Linked DNA regions of Styela clava. The protein of the gene in region 1 purifies or fractionates together with the protein of each later gene. This does not show direct contact. Links are inferred from orthologs where the notes say so. Each region holds a gene or a part of one and is shown in the gene's direction. Other genes may lie near its edges.

The links. The genes of interacting proteins can lie anywhere in the genome.
Region 2: the proteins of uncharacterized protein LOC120342158 (region 1) and regulator of nonsense transcripts 2-like fractionate together in Homo sapiens (co-fractionation; 3 studies listed by BioGRID and IntAct). This does not show direct contact. The link is inferred for Styela clava from reciprocal best matches to the Homo sapiens genes CASC3 and UPF2.

What each region holds. Positions count from the first base shown.
Region 1 is NC_135252.1:6,798,534-6,806,496, forward strand, and holds the start of uncharacterized protein LOC120342158, read left to right. Parts: upstream 1-4,610; 5' UTR 4,611-4,710; coding exon 4,711-4,803; intron 4,804-5,246; coding exon 5,247-5,306; intron 5,307-7,068; coding exon 7,069-7,239; intron 7,240-7,821; coding exon 7,822-7,963. UniProt on the Homo sapiens protein: Required for pre-mRNA splicing as component of the spliceosome. Core component of the splicing-dependent multiprotein exon junction complex (EJC) deposited at splice junctions on mRNAs.
Region 2 is NC_135256.1:14,129,313-14,137,485, forward strand, and holds the start of regulator of nonsense transcripts 2-like, read left to right. Parts: upstream 1-4,657; 5' UTR 4,658-4,764; coding exon 4,765-4,786; intron 4,787-5,310; coding exon 5,311-5,372; intron 5,373-6,997; coding exon 6,998-7,159; intron 7,160-7,906; coding exon 7,907-7,987; intron 7,988-8,173. UniProt on the Homo sapiens protein: Involved in nonsense-mediated decay (NMD) of mRNAs containing premature stop codons by associating with the nuclear exon junction complex (EJC).

The sequences.
Region 1 (7,963 bases):
AGGCACTTAAAGAGTTGGGATTCGGTTTAATGACTCATCGAATCGAAAACTCATGCATAAGCCTCTCTATGACTATAACGAAAAACTAATCAATCATGATGAAATACATGACACTATAACTATGCAATTTACTCCTTTTTGCTTCAATGTATTTGCTGGCGTATTCTTTCATATTAGATTTGTTAACACGGTGTCTCTCGTAATGTGAATTATATTTTATATGTTGAACCGCATGGAGTATTTCGAAATTTGTAATATTTCAAAGTATTTGAAAATCATTGCCTCTTTGTCATTATGAGCCTGAAATCGGCTTAGTTTTATCTGGCCTTTATTTCTATATTTGAAGAAATACTTACGTATGGTCCGAGCTGGGCAACTACTCATGTAACGTCGACCAATTGTGCAACGCGACCCGTTGACACCATGAACCACGTATACCATAAACGTCATTTAAATGCGCCATTCCGTTTTATGAATGCTATTTTATTAATTTTCCGCGGCTAATATTTGTCAGTTCGTTTGGAAAACGTTAACACTTACCAATCGAGGTTCCAATTATTTGCGCGATAAGAATCCTGTTCTTCCTGCGCTGCGTATTATAGCAGAGTCGCGCGTGTAGAATATACATTGAATTTGAAGCGCTACAATGTTTTTGCTTTTACAAAAGAAGGGAGGCTTGGAGGAGGCCCAGTCGGGAAGAAGTGATCAAAATACTGCAAATTTAGTTACTTTGAATATATTAAAAAATGAGAGCACTTCTAATCAGCCTATTGTTATATATATTGCATGGGTGGCGTTTTTTTCATTTTAAGCAAGATATATAAAGCACAAACAAAATAACATACCAATTTTTTTTTATTTTTGTTTTTGGGTACTGCTGACACTGTGGTTTACTACTGTTGTGGGCAAAAGAATACGTTTTCTCTCAGTTACCACTAAACTCTGTTTTCCTCTGTCACCTTTCTTTTGACACTCATTTTATGATGAATTGTTATGTTTGACTAATTTTATAACTTGTAGCGTCCGTGAGGTCTAGTGCTATTGTCAAAGAACAGCCAAGTCCGTCAAGTTGGGCTTTAGTAACCTACGTTAAAAAAACGGGATCGCGCGGCGCAAATTGATATATATATATATATATATATATGCGTTTTGTCACTGCTGTCATATGGCCCACGCTTGAAAATAGAGGTGTGTTTCACTAAAATAAAGGTACGAAACGTCTCTCCGGCAGATAAGGAGTTGCTTGACGCGAGTTGACATAACAAATCATTCTCCTTGGCTTCTACTACCTTTTATCTTATTGCTCCGCTCAATTTTCCTTTCACTTATCGCTCGATTATTTCGAAAAAAAACAAAGCGCGACGCTTTGACACGTACCGGTAATTCGCCTTGACGTTTATAGATACAATTTTGAAATTCGGGATTTCAACGAACCTAATTCCCCAATTGCAGTATAACAAAACATATCAACTTGGGTAAACGTGCATGAATTCGAACATCCATGACAATCACTCCTTCTACTTTTTAGTATCCATAAGTGCAGATTTCAGGATTTCACTCCAAAATGTGACGCATAACTAAATTAATGAAACAATCTCAGTTTCGTTCTTGAAGCAGTGTTAATTGGTCGTAGGCAAATGCTTTAAATTTTATTGATAAATCAAGCAGGGTGCCTTCCTTGATTTCTGCTATTAAAAATAACCACTCAAATTTATCGTATATTGTTTCGACCTGAATTGGATTTCAGGACTTGAGTAAACTCGGACTACAACCATTTCAATTGCCTTGTCTACTTTCTTACATATTCTGTTATTTATTCACTACTGCTTTTGCTTCAACAAAGTCCATACAACTTTCTACATCAAATATTAGTATATATGAACTGCCTCAGTGGTCAAAAATGAACGTGCTGTTTGGGGACAATGCCCAGTTTTTGGTTGTTAAATCGAAGTATTTCAACAATCATAGTACAGTGATACATCGTGTTTTGGATTCCGAATCAATAGCCCTGTATTCATTCAATGGAGCCGTCTTCAACGGTATGACATAGGTATTCTTGAACACTAGAGTTCATGAAAACAATCTGAAATTACATTGTTTTTGAAATTATAATGTCCAAAACTGTTGATTTAAATATGTAAATTCATGAATGCAGCGCCTCCACAGGATTATCATTTTTAAGGCGCTTAGCTTAGCAACATTTGGAATGAATATGGCTGGTAGCAGCAGTGCTGGTCATTAAAATTCTCGGAAAACCACCTATGATGCAATAATCTAGTTCTTACTAAGAAGAAGCTAAATAAAATACGAATGAGGCAATAATACACTCACTCATACACTGTATGCCGAAATGAAAAAAAACTGAAAAATGGAAAAAAAAAATTGTTTTGACAGACTTGAACCATCTTAATGCGACCCAATTTTACCGCTTGCGACCTATACTTTGGGAACCGCTGTGATGTGAATTATTAAAGAGTATTTGGCTCTATGCCTCCCTTTTTGTTAAATCCCAATGCTTCTGACAAGAACTGCTATAAGCTCGTTTGTTGCATTCCAAGAACATGGTACCAAATGTTCAATCCGGTGAAATGTTAATCAATATCATGGTAACCATTTTGATTCACGGGAGCCAGAGCTTCGAGAACAAAGAGCCGCATGTGGCTACGGAGTCGCAGGTTGCCGATCGCTGGTTTACAGCGTTGCTTATACTTCCAACCTAACTATATGCAGCGAATGCGCCCTTCTATCGCATAATAATCACATTCGTTTTGCCTATTTTGTGATCTGATAGTGAAGTTCACTCCAGCATTTCACGGATGTCTATAATAGACAATGAAGTGTGAATAAAATTAAAAATTATTTGCTCTGTCGCCGTCATCTAACAGAACTATCAGAAATACTACTTTATTATCCGGTTAACTGTCACGATAATATCAGATAGCAAAATACCTCTCGGGTAACCGGATATTCGTTATCCGGATAATCTGACGTTATGCTGGATCATCAGTGTGGATTTCTCGAATGAAAAAGTAATTACAAATTTTATGCATCGCTATAGATCTCGCTGCTACCATTGTATTTTTTAAACTGTTTTGTTAAAATTTGCAAGACTCACTCATATGCAGACATGAGACAAGAAGTAAATTAAAAATATTCTACTTCTACACTACACCAATCTACTGCCATGAAGAAATCGCTCAAACTGAAAGAACCAAAATGTTTAAAACCCAGTTTCTTAAAAATGTTTGATCGTAAATTAATTAGCCGAATATACTGTGATGCAGTAATATGCCAATAATGGAGAATGATGCCAAAATCTTATAATTGATTTAATTTTAAATAACTTGATTTCAGTAGTCGGAAAAATTAATATAGTTTCATAATGCTATCAATTTATCATGCTATCAAATGCAATAAAATGTTTATAAAGACATTGTAGTTTTGTTCTTCTCTGAACTTTATAGAATAGATTTGCTAGTTGTTCCTACCTGTATTCAATGCTCCATTATTGCAATATTAATTTTTGTACTACAGTAGGTAAAACTAAATTTTGGAAAATTGTATATAGCTCTTTTTTCTTACTTGGCAAGTTCATGATTCACATTCTCATTGATATTTATTTTGCCTTTTTTGTATCAGTCAAAATTATCTTCAGTGGTAGGTTGACCTTGCAGTCTTTGCCCGCCAATTATATTTTGTGCTTTTTTTCTTTGCAGTGTATAATTTCAATTGTTATGTATTCGGAAAGCAAGAGATCGAAAGACTGTTGGAAAACGAAGTTGTACGCTAATGCAAAGTGCAAACTGTCACAGTATTTTTCATACGTGAAAAATACTAACAAGGAAATGAACATGACCAAAACCAACGGCCGGCAAACAACTTGCCCAATGTTACCCAAGTTCATGTACGACATTTGTGCCATATTTGGGAAACGCGAAACAATGGAGTCTTATGGAAAATTTTTGTCGTGTTGTTGTACAGAACCGAATAAGTCAGCTATTAAAAGGGTTAGAATGAAGCCGAAGGGTGGACATAAACATTAAGCTTGATGCTACCTAAATATATGAAGCAATTAGAAATAAATAAAAAAGCTATACGTTAAATTTGGCCACAAACACAGAAACGCAAATGCAATAAAATGTCCAACAACCGGAACGCGGTTTCGTTGCGTTTCGACTACAGCTCCCCACTGAATGTAAATGTATTATAAATGTAATTTGGCAAACATAAAAGAATATCATCATGTTCGACTAAGATTCTACTTCAAAACGCGACCTTCAAAACATTTCTACCTAAAATATAAGTGAAAATAATTGGTATGTTTCAATAATTGTGTGCGAACTTTTCATAGGGCGCCTTGTTGGATGGCCGAGTATAATACGCACAAGATGGAATCCATTGTCTGAGCGTTGCCTCGCTTGTAATATATATACGCTTTGACCAAAACCAGCAACAACAACATAAAAAACAAAACGAATCATATCTACATTGGTGTCCAATAGATTATTATCTCTCCGTGTAAATTTCTCTAATTATCATAGTAAAATTTTGCCGAATTGGCTCATAGAGACTCATAGCACATCCGCGTCGTTTCAGGCTTTCAGCCACCAACAATCGTAAAGTTGTCGTTGTGTAGAAGCCTTTGGCACTGTTTCGACTTGAAGTCGATTTTGGGGTGTTCAATATAACATTGCTTACACAGATACAGGTATGTCACGCAGAAGGCGTCGTGAAGAAGATGTCAACGATTCGGAGGGCGAAGGTTTGGATGAAAAACCAGATGAGAAATCAATGAACGGCTCGGTAAGTACCGGTACCGTACCGATGGACCAGTGTGATTTGCAACAGCGGTACCGGCTCCTGGGCTAAGTGAATTCGTCAATATAATAAAAACTTAACTCTCGTCAGTTAAATACCTTTTAGTTTGTGGTCATGCGATGAAAAGAATAGTAAAGTCTGTAAGTAGTCTACTCAAACAGGAAAACAGTACCGGTATCAATGCGGATGATATTCGATGCTTCAGTTTTAAATTCTTGTAGTGAATGCAGGAATGGTATAATGAATGTCATATTTTGTAGCTATTTTAGTAAATCTGTATTTTTTACACTGGTTGAACTGAACTAAGTGAAACCTCAAAACAGTTGTGTTTTATTCCAGTACTGTATTCCGGGAATGATTTATTAATATAGATTGGTGATTTCTTTGGATTTATGATTTTCGTTGAATATCTTTTAACCATATTTTAGGAATCTGATATTGATGACGATGACCTCGACGTATCGGAATATGAAAGCGTAGATGAAGAGGTAGCTCATTATATTTAACAGTTATAATTGCATTAATCAACACACTTCACACATCAGCACATACCTATTTAAAGACATCAATTATAAGCATGAATACAAACTTCTACGTTGCGGGTCAGCCTGGCGGTGTGGTCCTTCCATGTTGCCACTATATGGCACACCGTTAAATATAAAGAAAGCTAATTTATTGTCAATTAAAATCAAAAATTTTTTAGAAAAAATTTATTCCACAGAAAAAATATTTTACTGTAGCATTCAAGAGTTTTAATTGAAAAAACAACAAATGGGAACAAATTTCATACACACAGATCACGAGATCTCACGCATCTGCTTTGGTGCCAGACGCCATATCTCGAGAGTATTTGTTTTATGTTTTATATATCTGAATATTGGAACATTCTTCGAGAACATGTGCTATAACAGGGCTTTTCAACTATTTTTATCGAAGGTCCGCAAACAAAACTTCAAAATTATTTGGGTCCGGTCTTCCAGAAATGATATTTCGGCATCCTTAAACGAGCACTTCCTCGACTGACTAATGATTAGTAGCAAATTAAAATTGTTCATTATGGTGTTATAGTTCTTTTCGTATATATTCAAAACTGTGAAAGTCATTTTATAATAGGAAATTCAAAAAGTGGGGCTAATGATCCAAAATAAATAATTAAGTGCGGTCCAAATCCAATACTCGAAAGGTCCGGATTCGGACCGCGGTCCGCCAGTTGAGTAGCCCTGTGCTATAACATGTATTAGAGAATCTATTATGTCATATTTTCCAAATATGAATTGGTTAGATGATTTCCAATCATTTTTTCCATCTAATTTTAGATATATTTTTCTGTAAATCATGAATGCCAAAGCGTTTCCAGACCGGGGCATGATTTTATAGTTTTCGGGAATTTTACTTTGTATTTTTATGTAGTAAGCCTTTTACTAACTTGTTTAGCTATTGTATTACATTCATATGGACAAATTATATGTAGGCCTACATGGAATTGTATAAAAGCCACAGAGGCTTGCGAGTATCAATAGAGAAGAACCTTATAAAACATAACAACAATTGTCGATTGGTAACAGAGTTTTTCTGTGTTTTGAGGGAAGAATGAGGAGTTTTATTAAAAATAGGCAAAGAGAGGAGTGTATCGAAAAAACTTCTCAACCACTCGATCTGTCTATTTGAATCTTAGACTGTTTAGAACAGGGGTTCCCAACCTGGGGTACTTGGATGGCAGTCGTGTTTTTGTGTTTTTTTTTTTTCAATGTCCTCTAACTGAGAAAAACTAAGTAACTACCAAAGGTAAATGTTTGCCAATTGAAACTCTGCATAGATTTTCCTGTATCTTGCGTTGTTGTGATTGTGACGCAACAATGTGAAATGCACGGCTTTGCAGCCAAACTGTGAAATCTCAGAAGACAATGTGCTGCGATCATTGCAGAAAGTGATATGCATATCGAAATTTGAAGAGGTTACAAGAATTCATTAGTTAGGCGTAGGACAAGGGTAATAACATTAACGCGAACAGTTAATTTAGTCACAGCAGTTGGTCAATAAATTGTCGTAGCAGCAAATTGTCAGACAATATATCACAACTTTGTTTGGTTTCTGATTACTGAGGGTTCGCGTTGATTGTTTCGTGACTCGGGGGGTAAAAAGGTTGAGAACTCCTGGTTTGGAAGAACCATGCGTCTTTTCTATTTTCGCTTTACTCGACCCGGGCTTTCTCTCTCGGTTTATATTAATATTGTTTTTTTTCCTATTTAGGCTCGGCATTCAATAGATGAAGAATTTGAAGAAGACGACCCTGGAGGAGAACAACCAGAAAATGATAACGAAAAAGTAAAGGAAGATCAAGGCAAAGAACATGAAAACATAGAAATAAAACGGGAAAATGAAGAAGTTTCTGAAACTATAAGAGAGAGTGGTGATGGAAAAGTACGTGTGGTTGTTTCTCAAACATTTAATCTATCTTTGGTTTGGGTTCAGAAATCAATAGCTTTGAATTTATTTTGACTAATACTAAACAGATGGTACTAGGACATTGTGTATTAAACTGCATGTCCTTTCATTGAACTGTAGGTTCTTTCTCCGGTACTCCCATAGTGTGTGTACCAGGATAGGATTAGGACATAATTTTATTCAGATTTTCCTTATTTCAGTTCTATTATAAGTTAGGGGACTGTCTGTGTTAGCCAAATGAATATACCAAACGCCCATAGGTTTCAATCCCTTTACACAACTTGAGGTAAAAAAGGCGAACAAAATTAGTTACCTCCATATTGGTACACGCACTTCTGGAGCGCCCTTTCTCCTTGTCTACCTCCTGCTTCGAATTCTTGTGTCCTTTGCCACAAGGATGCCCAAACAATATTCTATTAAAGTGATGAATAACGGATTTTTCCCACAAAATAGCCAGTATATTGTGAGCTTTCGTTAGATCATAGTATATATTAGTTTCATTATCTACCAGTGTATTAATCATTTATTTATCGTGTAATTTTTTATCTCAAATAACAGGAGCAATCTGATAATGAGCAACACAAGCAAGAAGGAAATTTAGAAGCTGATAACGAAGAAAAAGAAAGATTGAGAAAAGAAGAAGAAGATCCTGCATTTATTCCAACAAAAGGAGCATTTTTTCAGCATGACATGAGATCCG
Region 2 (8,173 bases), on another chromosome or scaffold:
TATTATACAATTGCTATCATATATTTTGAGACAGTCTAGGACTCTAGGCCCTCTAGGGCTAGGCGGTCATGTCAATATATCTATAAAGAAATTGTGTTGTTAAACAAAATTAATATCTGCGTAGAGGGATAATTGTGTCGGAATTTAGTTTATCGATGTCGTCGGACTAAATGACACTCGTACTTGACGACAAACAGTCAGAATTTATACCCGTGCCAAAAGTCCATGTGCCGTTAATAAGGACCCCAATTCCACTGTATGATTTAAAACTGGGTGCCTAATTGCTTTTTGTTATGTGCCGTGTTGATATATTTCTTCATAATTACTATGTAATATTAAAAATGTCAATATAAAAATTTGACAGCGAAAATAGCTAAAAATACGTGAATCATATTCTCTCGCGGGGGTAGGGACATGTATGGCTCATAGCTCACGATCTCTCCAGACAAAAAATAAATTAAAAAGTAGTATTCCAACTTATCTTTTAAAACATTCTGGACCATATCAAAAACGTAAATATATCGGAAATATCGGCCTTAATCTAACCGATACCGATACATGGCCGATACCGAAAAAATGGCCGATATTGCCGATACCGATACCCGATACCGATACATCGGTACATCTCTAGATACACCTCAGTGGAGCGCACCAACTCAAAATCCGGAAAATGACGGTACAGAGATGCCGCTGCTTGGACTCTTGGAGCTGGTTAACCGTTACGGGACCGTAAATTTGGGAAGGGGGATTGTTTGGGAGTCAACATAATATATGCTGATACTGAAGGACTTTAACCATAGAACTTGGGCGATGGAGTGATGGATGGAGTTAACACAGGTAGCAACTCTCACAGAAAACTGACTGACTGAGCAGGTAGCGTAACACACGGTACCGGTACTGTGTCTTACGTGTACGGTACGGTAATAACTATTAATGAGAGCGAGTTGGTTAACTTATTTAATATTTACCTGTACCGGTACCTTTCAGTACAGCAGTAAGATTAGGCTTACCATACGTCCCGGTTTAGCCGGGACAGTCCCGGATTTGACAAGCTGTCCCGGCGTCCCGGCCGGTTGACTCAAATGTCCCGGTTTGTCAGCACGGTTTTCATGGGTAAAAAATTCAAATTCATTAATATTACAAATTTTTTTTAACGGTGACAGCCCATTTACCACTGTTTTGCGACACACTTTGCTAGTTCAGAGAGAGAAATCGCTCTATTGTTATGTCACAATTGGTATACGTTTTAATGCGTTTTCTGGCGTTAACTGCAATGTCGTTAAGTTGTCGAAATGCCAAAAAGAAAGTACAAGTTTTCTGATGAGTTGAAGAAAGATTTACCTTATTTGAAGCAAACTGAAGGAGGAAAGGTACACTGTACGCATTGCAGATCTGTTCTTCTATTAGTCATGGCGGACGTTCAGATGTCAACGATCATATCCAAAGCAGGAAGCACAAAACAATAACATTGAAGCATCGACTCGACTGACCAATTTTGCGATAACAAATTCGGATGATTCTGTGTCGTTGGCAGCCGACATTTACCTATCACACTGCTATTCATGACCAAAGTTTTGACTGCACCTCTAAATTGATTTCAAATTTTTTTGAGGCTAAATTTGCATTAACTTGTAAATATACACAGTTAGAATTTCTGATGTCCGCTGTTTGATAAGCGGATTCGCTGATTTTGCACGTTTAGCCAGAAATAAATGAGAGTTGGTGCATTTATCCGTTGTTCTCCTCTGAATTTAATGATGATTTACTTCAAGCTCGAATGGCAACAAAACGCAGAAAAGTTGATGCTAAGTGCAAAGGGTTCAATGGCGCTGAAAATATTCAAACGGAATTTTTTGAGATGCAATGAGGAAATAAATCTATATTCTATTCGAGAGATGTATCACTGCTTGATTTTTAATATAAAAACTATCATTCGTTCAGTTTCAACTTTCTAAAAATATGTGCGGCCCGCCAATGACTCGCAACCCTTAATTTTGGCCCGCGGGCGACAAAAGGTTGCCGACCCCTGCCGTAGATGTTGCAAATATTCTGTCAGAGGTGAAGCTAAATTTGCAGGGAAAAAATTTGTATTTAAAAAGAATGTTTGCGATTTTTACGAGAAATGTCTATCGAATATAGAGCTGCACGATGAAGCCTACAATGCTGCCAGGCCACACATATGGACAAATTTGAAGAGTGAAATAAACTGGACTGAAGTGTTTGGTCTGCAAAATTGATAAATGATATATTTGGTTAGCTGATCAGATTTTGAATAGCGATGCACTTTTACGAATACTGATAAAGAGATATTTATCTGAGCATGGTTCAAATGCAATTTGACTTACTTTGCCGGTTGAAATTAAGTGGACAAAGATGTTTAACGTTTTTTTCTAACAGAAATATTAGCATTTCGAATTTGCAGCAAATTGGTTGATTTTGTTTTTCGGAAAATCGGCATCTGTTAAAAGGATTTTTTCCATTGTTAAAAAATTTTGGTCCGAAAGCAGGTGCAGAATGCCTGAAGAAAATATAAAACCACTCCGTAACCTGCAAATTTAATGGTGATGTCTCTTGTTATCAGTTTTATGACAAAATCAAAACAAAAATTTTTGAGAAAGGTTCCATCTGCGGACAAATACTTTTGGTCTAAATGAATAATACAAACTAATTTTTTGTGTTTTTTCTAATTCAATGATCAGTAGAGATTTACAGCCGTATATACCCGCAATGGCATGGTAGACGTTCCAATATTATCAAGACTGGCAATCGACCGAATGTTTGCCAAATCGCACCGTCCCGGTTTTTTGTTTCAGATTTATGGTAAGCCTAAGTAAGATGCCATATGATCGTATGAATGAGGTTATTCTGACTAGTCCATGCATGGTTGGAATTCAGTATTTAATTAAAGTAATTTCAGAACATAAGAGTGCCGGTACTGGTACGGCACCGTACGCATTTTACCGTACCAAAGCTTGCGGTTTTAAGTGAAGACCGGCGACGATGGATTGCGTTAACCAAAATCCAAAGTTGAGTATAAGTACGGTACCGGTATGTTCTGATTTTCTCCAATAAAAAACCATACCGGTACACAAAACATAAACAATAAATATTAGAATCAAGTCGGTTTGAGCTCAGCCTGAGATGCCCAATTTCTGAATTTTGAAATTTAAAAGAAATGCCTATTTCAGTATTCCTGTATTTTGATGAATTTACAGATTTAAAATGGTTATATTTATTTTTAAATGTCTGAATACCGGTATAGGTCTGTTGGTAGGCTGTGGCTGGGCTACAGTATGTCATTAGATTAGAAATAAGTTACAACACCTGCATTTAAAAAATTATTATTGACATCTGATTACTGGACTGTCTGATGACGACCAGACCAAAATAAGTTTGGATTTCACCTTTTTTTAAAAATGTTTACATTTCAGCATTTGCCATCTGTTTGTTTTCCCATAGTGATGAAAGAAACACTACTACTACACTGTCAGTATGGCACATGACATTGTCTTGTTTCGGAGAATCCCATTTTGCCGATGAACAGACACCCCTATTTTTGAGAACGTCTTTACATTGTTGTCTTTCAATATCGGTAAAAATATAGTGCAATAAACTAAAAAAAAGCTCAATCTAAAATCGCCATCATTGAATTTCTGGAGAAAAAATAATTTATTTATCGTGGCATTCAAAAAACAGCAATTTTGGTCACATGACGGCTGCGATTAATTTAGATTATTATCGAGACAAGCATGGCGTGATATGAGGCATTTGCCGTCGGGCAGGAGGCCCCTTGTTTGTGAGTCATATGGAGTGTTTTTTTTTAACCAAATGACTGGATATTTTTGGAATTTGGAAACTGATAAATAATATTTATCCAACTCTCCGACTGTTCTATATTTTCATTACCAAATTCTATTTCTATCAATTTACAATAAATTGTGCAAATTTTCAAGTTGAACATAGATATTCAGCAAAAATATTGTTTTTGTTTGTTGGAATAGTAAATTATTTAACCTCAAAACTATCCTAAGAAACAAAAAAATGACAAACACGGTATCTGTATTTTTGCATTAGTATTAGATTTTTCTGATCGGTCTTGTCACAATGATTTCTTTGACAAAGTGTGAATTGTAACTACAAGATCAAGTTAACCAAGCTTTGGACGGTGTAGTCTGGCAATCTGCTTTCACCCCTTTTAGTCAGCACATATAGTACGATGCGGTTCAACAAATCCAGGAATAGCCCCCACATCAAAATACATCAAATATAACAGTGAATACATACCCCTCCGTTACCACTTACCAGACAGTCTGGCCCTCTATATCGGCACAAATAGGCAATCCCGCACTGAGAAATAAACTAAAATGAACGACTACTGCATGCCGCGATTGATCAAACTTATTGAGACAAGCATGGTATGATCTGAGTCTGATGCATCTGCTGTCGTTCCTGTGCCCTACTGATAAATGGGGATTGCAATGGTGGCCATACGCAGCATAAATAACATTGTTTAATAATATTTTGGCTCGATGTTTTTATCTTGATCAAAAGAGGTACATCTATTAAATATAGCAGAGGCTGAAAAATTAGGTTATTTATATGCAGCTCTCAATGATATTTTTTTTATTTTGTTTTTTTATGAATTATAATATAATTTTTCAGTTTGGTATTGTAAAGTGGAAAATTAGGAATAAATTTCAATGTCTAAATGCTGAGTGATATATATATAACAAGTCAGCATAGAGGCAGCAATTACTGTTCGTCATGGACAATAAAGATGAGAAAGGTACAGTTATGGATTTTGTATAAAATACACATATTTTAATGGAGGTTTATTTTTATATGTTTAAACAGATTAGAATCATTGATGAACTAGGTAAATTCTTTTTTGTTATGATCTAGTCGGGAATGTTGAATCAATTTGATGTGACTTAATCTTTTACCTTTTTTAAGAGCATTGCTCTGTGGAATTTGTTATCATTAAACTGGTAAATCATTAAACCGATAACATTGACATCAACTATTTTAAGTTAGCATTAAATTAAGCAATGCTCAAACTCAACTTTTCTATTTGAGAACTGTTGACAGTCATTTTAAAAACTGCGACTTTTGGTCATATATTGGGCAAGAGACATTACTACTCGTAGAATAACATCTAAACATGTCAAAATAATTGCAATATGGCGAATTCTATGTTCCTTGAATAGATCATGCAGTTATGTGATAGTTTAAATTTTTATTAGTTTGGCCGATAGACTATGAGCAATGAGCTTATTGTCAAATTTCTAACTTTTTATTATCTTTGTGTAGATGATAAAACTGAACTTGGAGGTACCACAGAAGATGATGAGAAAAAGCTTCAAGAGGAGAAGGTTTGAGTTGATGAAAAAATTTATTTTCAGTAATATTTGAAGCGTTGATGAATCATTTAGACCAGGGGTCTCAAACTCAACTTACCTGGGGGACGCCGAGACAGAGCCCTAGTGAGTCTGGGCCGCATCAGGTTTTACACAATAAAAGCATTAAACTTGAAAAGTTAAATCTTTTCCACTATTTTTCTATACACAAAACATGTCAAAAACATAAATGTAAGTAATTCCGCGATGGACCTTTCCCCGAGCATCTACTTCCTTGTTTATTCCGTAACATTGGCTAATCAGCAAGGCCCAAAAAGTGACGTAACAATAGACTTTTTCGCAGACGCTCAGACACTTGTCACTCAGAAAGATTTTCAGGCATGTTTGTAAACATTACCTCGTTTTTGCATGCTATTTGTTAGTTTTGGGTTGTTTTTCAGAAATTTGAGTATGAATCAAAGAACTCAATAATGATTCTGATTGCTTGGGCGTCGTAGCCTAATTGTAGTAATCAAAAAGTAATCTAGAAATAGCTGTGATAGACTAGGCCAAACTTCTCTACTGGTACTGTTGAAAAACAGGTTGTTAAATGTTTTGAATCAAAATGATGACGTGAAACATATACCCCAGTTTATAGGCCTTAACTTGCGAAGCCACCTCTAAAGTAAGCACCAAGAATTTGCAATGGTGAGGTAAAAGAAAATTTTCTTTGGGGTCAAAGGTCCATCGAATATCATGCCTACAGGTATGGTACTAGTAGGTTACCGTGCCGCATATGCCATTTCGGGGGATAGATTATAAAATATTTAATTTGCTCTACTTGTCCTGATCATATATTAAATGCATCAATCATTCTAACTGAGCTGAGTGACTTACGGGACGCACTAACATTATTAAACTTTCATACCAAGGCGGGGGCCACAAACTATCGTCCTGCGGGCCACAATTGGCCCGCGGGCCGCGAGTTTGAGACCCCTGATTTAAACATTGTCCCGACTGTCATCATTCTGAATCCATATCCATCATGCTAAGTGTTAGGAATAGGCTTGGTGCTGCACCGTCATCTTTCCTTGGATACATATGTGAATGCTATCCCATCCTATATCGTGGAATCAATCTTTCGACATATGTTAGTTTTTTCTAACTATTTCTATGTACTGCACTTCAAGCAAAAACTTATAGTTTGTTAAATACCATCAGCCAAGGCTATTATCATAGCATCAATCTTAGAATAGAGCAGTTTGAGGACTTTTCCTTGGTCTTACTTATTAAATAATCAAAATGCCTGAAATCATTTTTGGTTTGAATATGGTAAAACTATAATGGGCAGCTTTGGATGATACTATTCAGTTTTTAAAACATAGTATCACAAGACTGTATATATTAATTTATAAATGACATATTGCAGTATTGGATTTATATATTAATGTTTGTTAAGCAAAGAAAGAATGCATAGATATATAGAAATTTCACACTGTTTAGAAGCCATATCAAAAATTCAAAAACCCACCAGCCTACAATATGAGAGGGTTTGCTTGTTCCAATATCTCCTTATCTGTATTATCCTTAATAATCTGTTTTATTGTTTGGAAATTTTTTCTACTGCTCTAATCCATGTTCAATCAAACTATAAATTTCAGGAACAAGCCTCCAACTTATTGAAAGAGACAAATGAAAGGAATGCCGCCAAATCAAAGTTCAGAACTCAAAATCAGAATGCTGCTGATCATCGACCTGATGAAGATTATTTTCACAAACTTGATTCAAGTTTGAAGAAAAACACTGCTTTTGTTAAAAAATTGGTAAGTAGTTATATAGACAGATTTTTATGTTACTGCCCATTCGGTGAAACTTTGTGTCATTTTCAAAGAAAATGTAGTACAGGCAGAGCTGTTGAGTTGGGGGAAAATTCATAATCAACTCCTGGGTGTTCCAGATGTGTGTGTACCAATGTGGAGGTAACTAATTTTGTTCACCTGTTTTACATCAAGTTTTATAAAGGGGGCAGGGGGTATATTCACTCGGCTAACACAGACAGTCCCAGAACTCGTAATATAACCAAAATAGGGAAAATCGGAATAAAATAATGGCCTAACCCTAACCTGGTACACACCCTATGGGTGTACCCAACTCCTTCCTGACTCTGGGTCGAGGAAATATTGACTTCGATTTCTGACTAGGTTTAAGAAATTTTGACACGCTTCTAGCTCCAAATTGGAGGAAATCAACTTTCAATAACAAACAATTTGGTGTATGCAAGTATCCTTCAACAGACTATCAAAAATTAATGCTGTTTAAGTTTCTGTAAAGATATTCAACTTTTCTATATCACTGCTGAAAGTCTGTCAGTCTGGAATTCCAACATCGACTTTGAAGAATTCACAATTTTGACCGTGACTCTCGACTCAGGGGAGTTTAAAAATGTAGCTCTTAGCCTCTTACTCTAGCAAAACATGTTGAAATTTTGAAACTCCCGCCTCCGAGTCTCAACTTTGAAGTCCTGTGTACAATTATACTCAAAAACTTATCCAAGGCCATTATTGTTGCAGGGAAAACTTACAGAGCAACAGAGAAGTTCATTAGAAAAGGAATTCAATTCTCTCAACTTGACCAGATATATTCAAGAAGTGGTGAGTATTATACATATATACTTGGATAATGTTGGTTTATCATTGTGTAACTGTAGTTTTATGAACCCATTTCGCTCGCTATCAGTAACATTCCTTTCAGTAATAGTGCCTTTGCACCAAAAAGCCATTGGTTTATTGGTCATTGCTTTATTGGTCAAATGGAATGTTATTGTGTATGTTGATTAG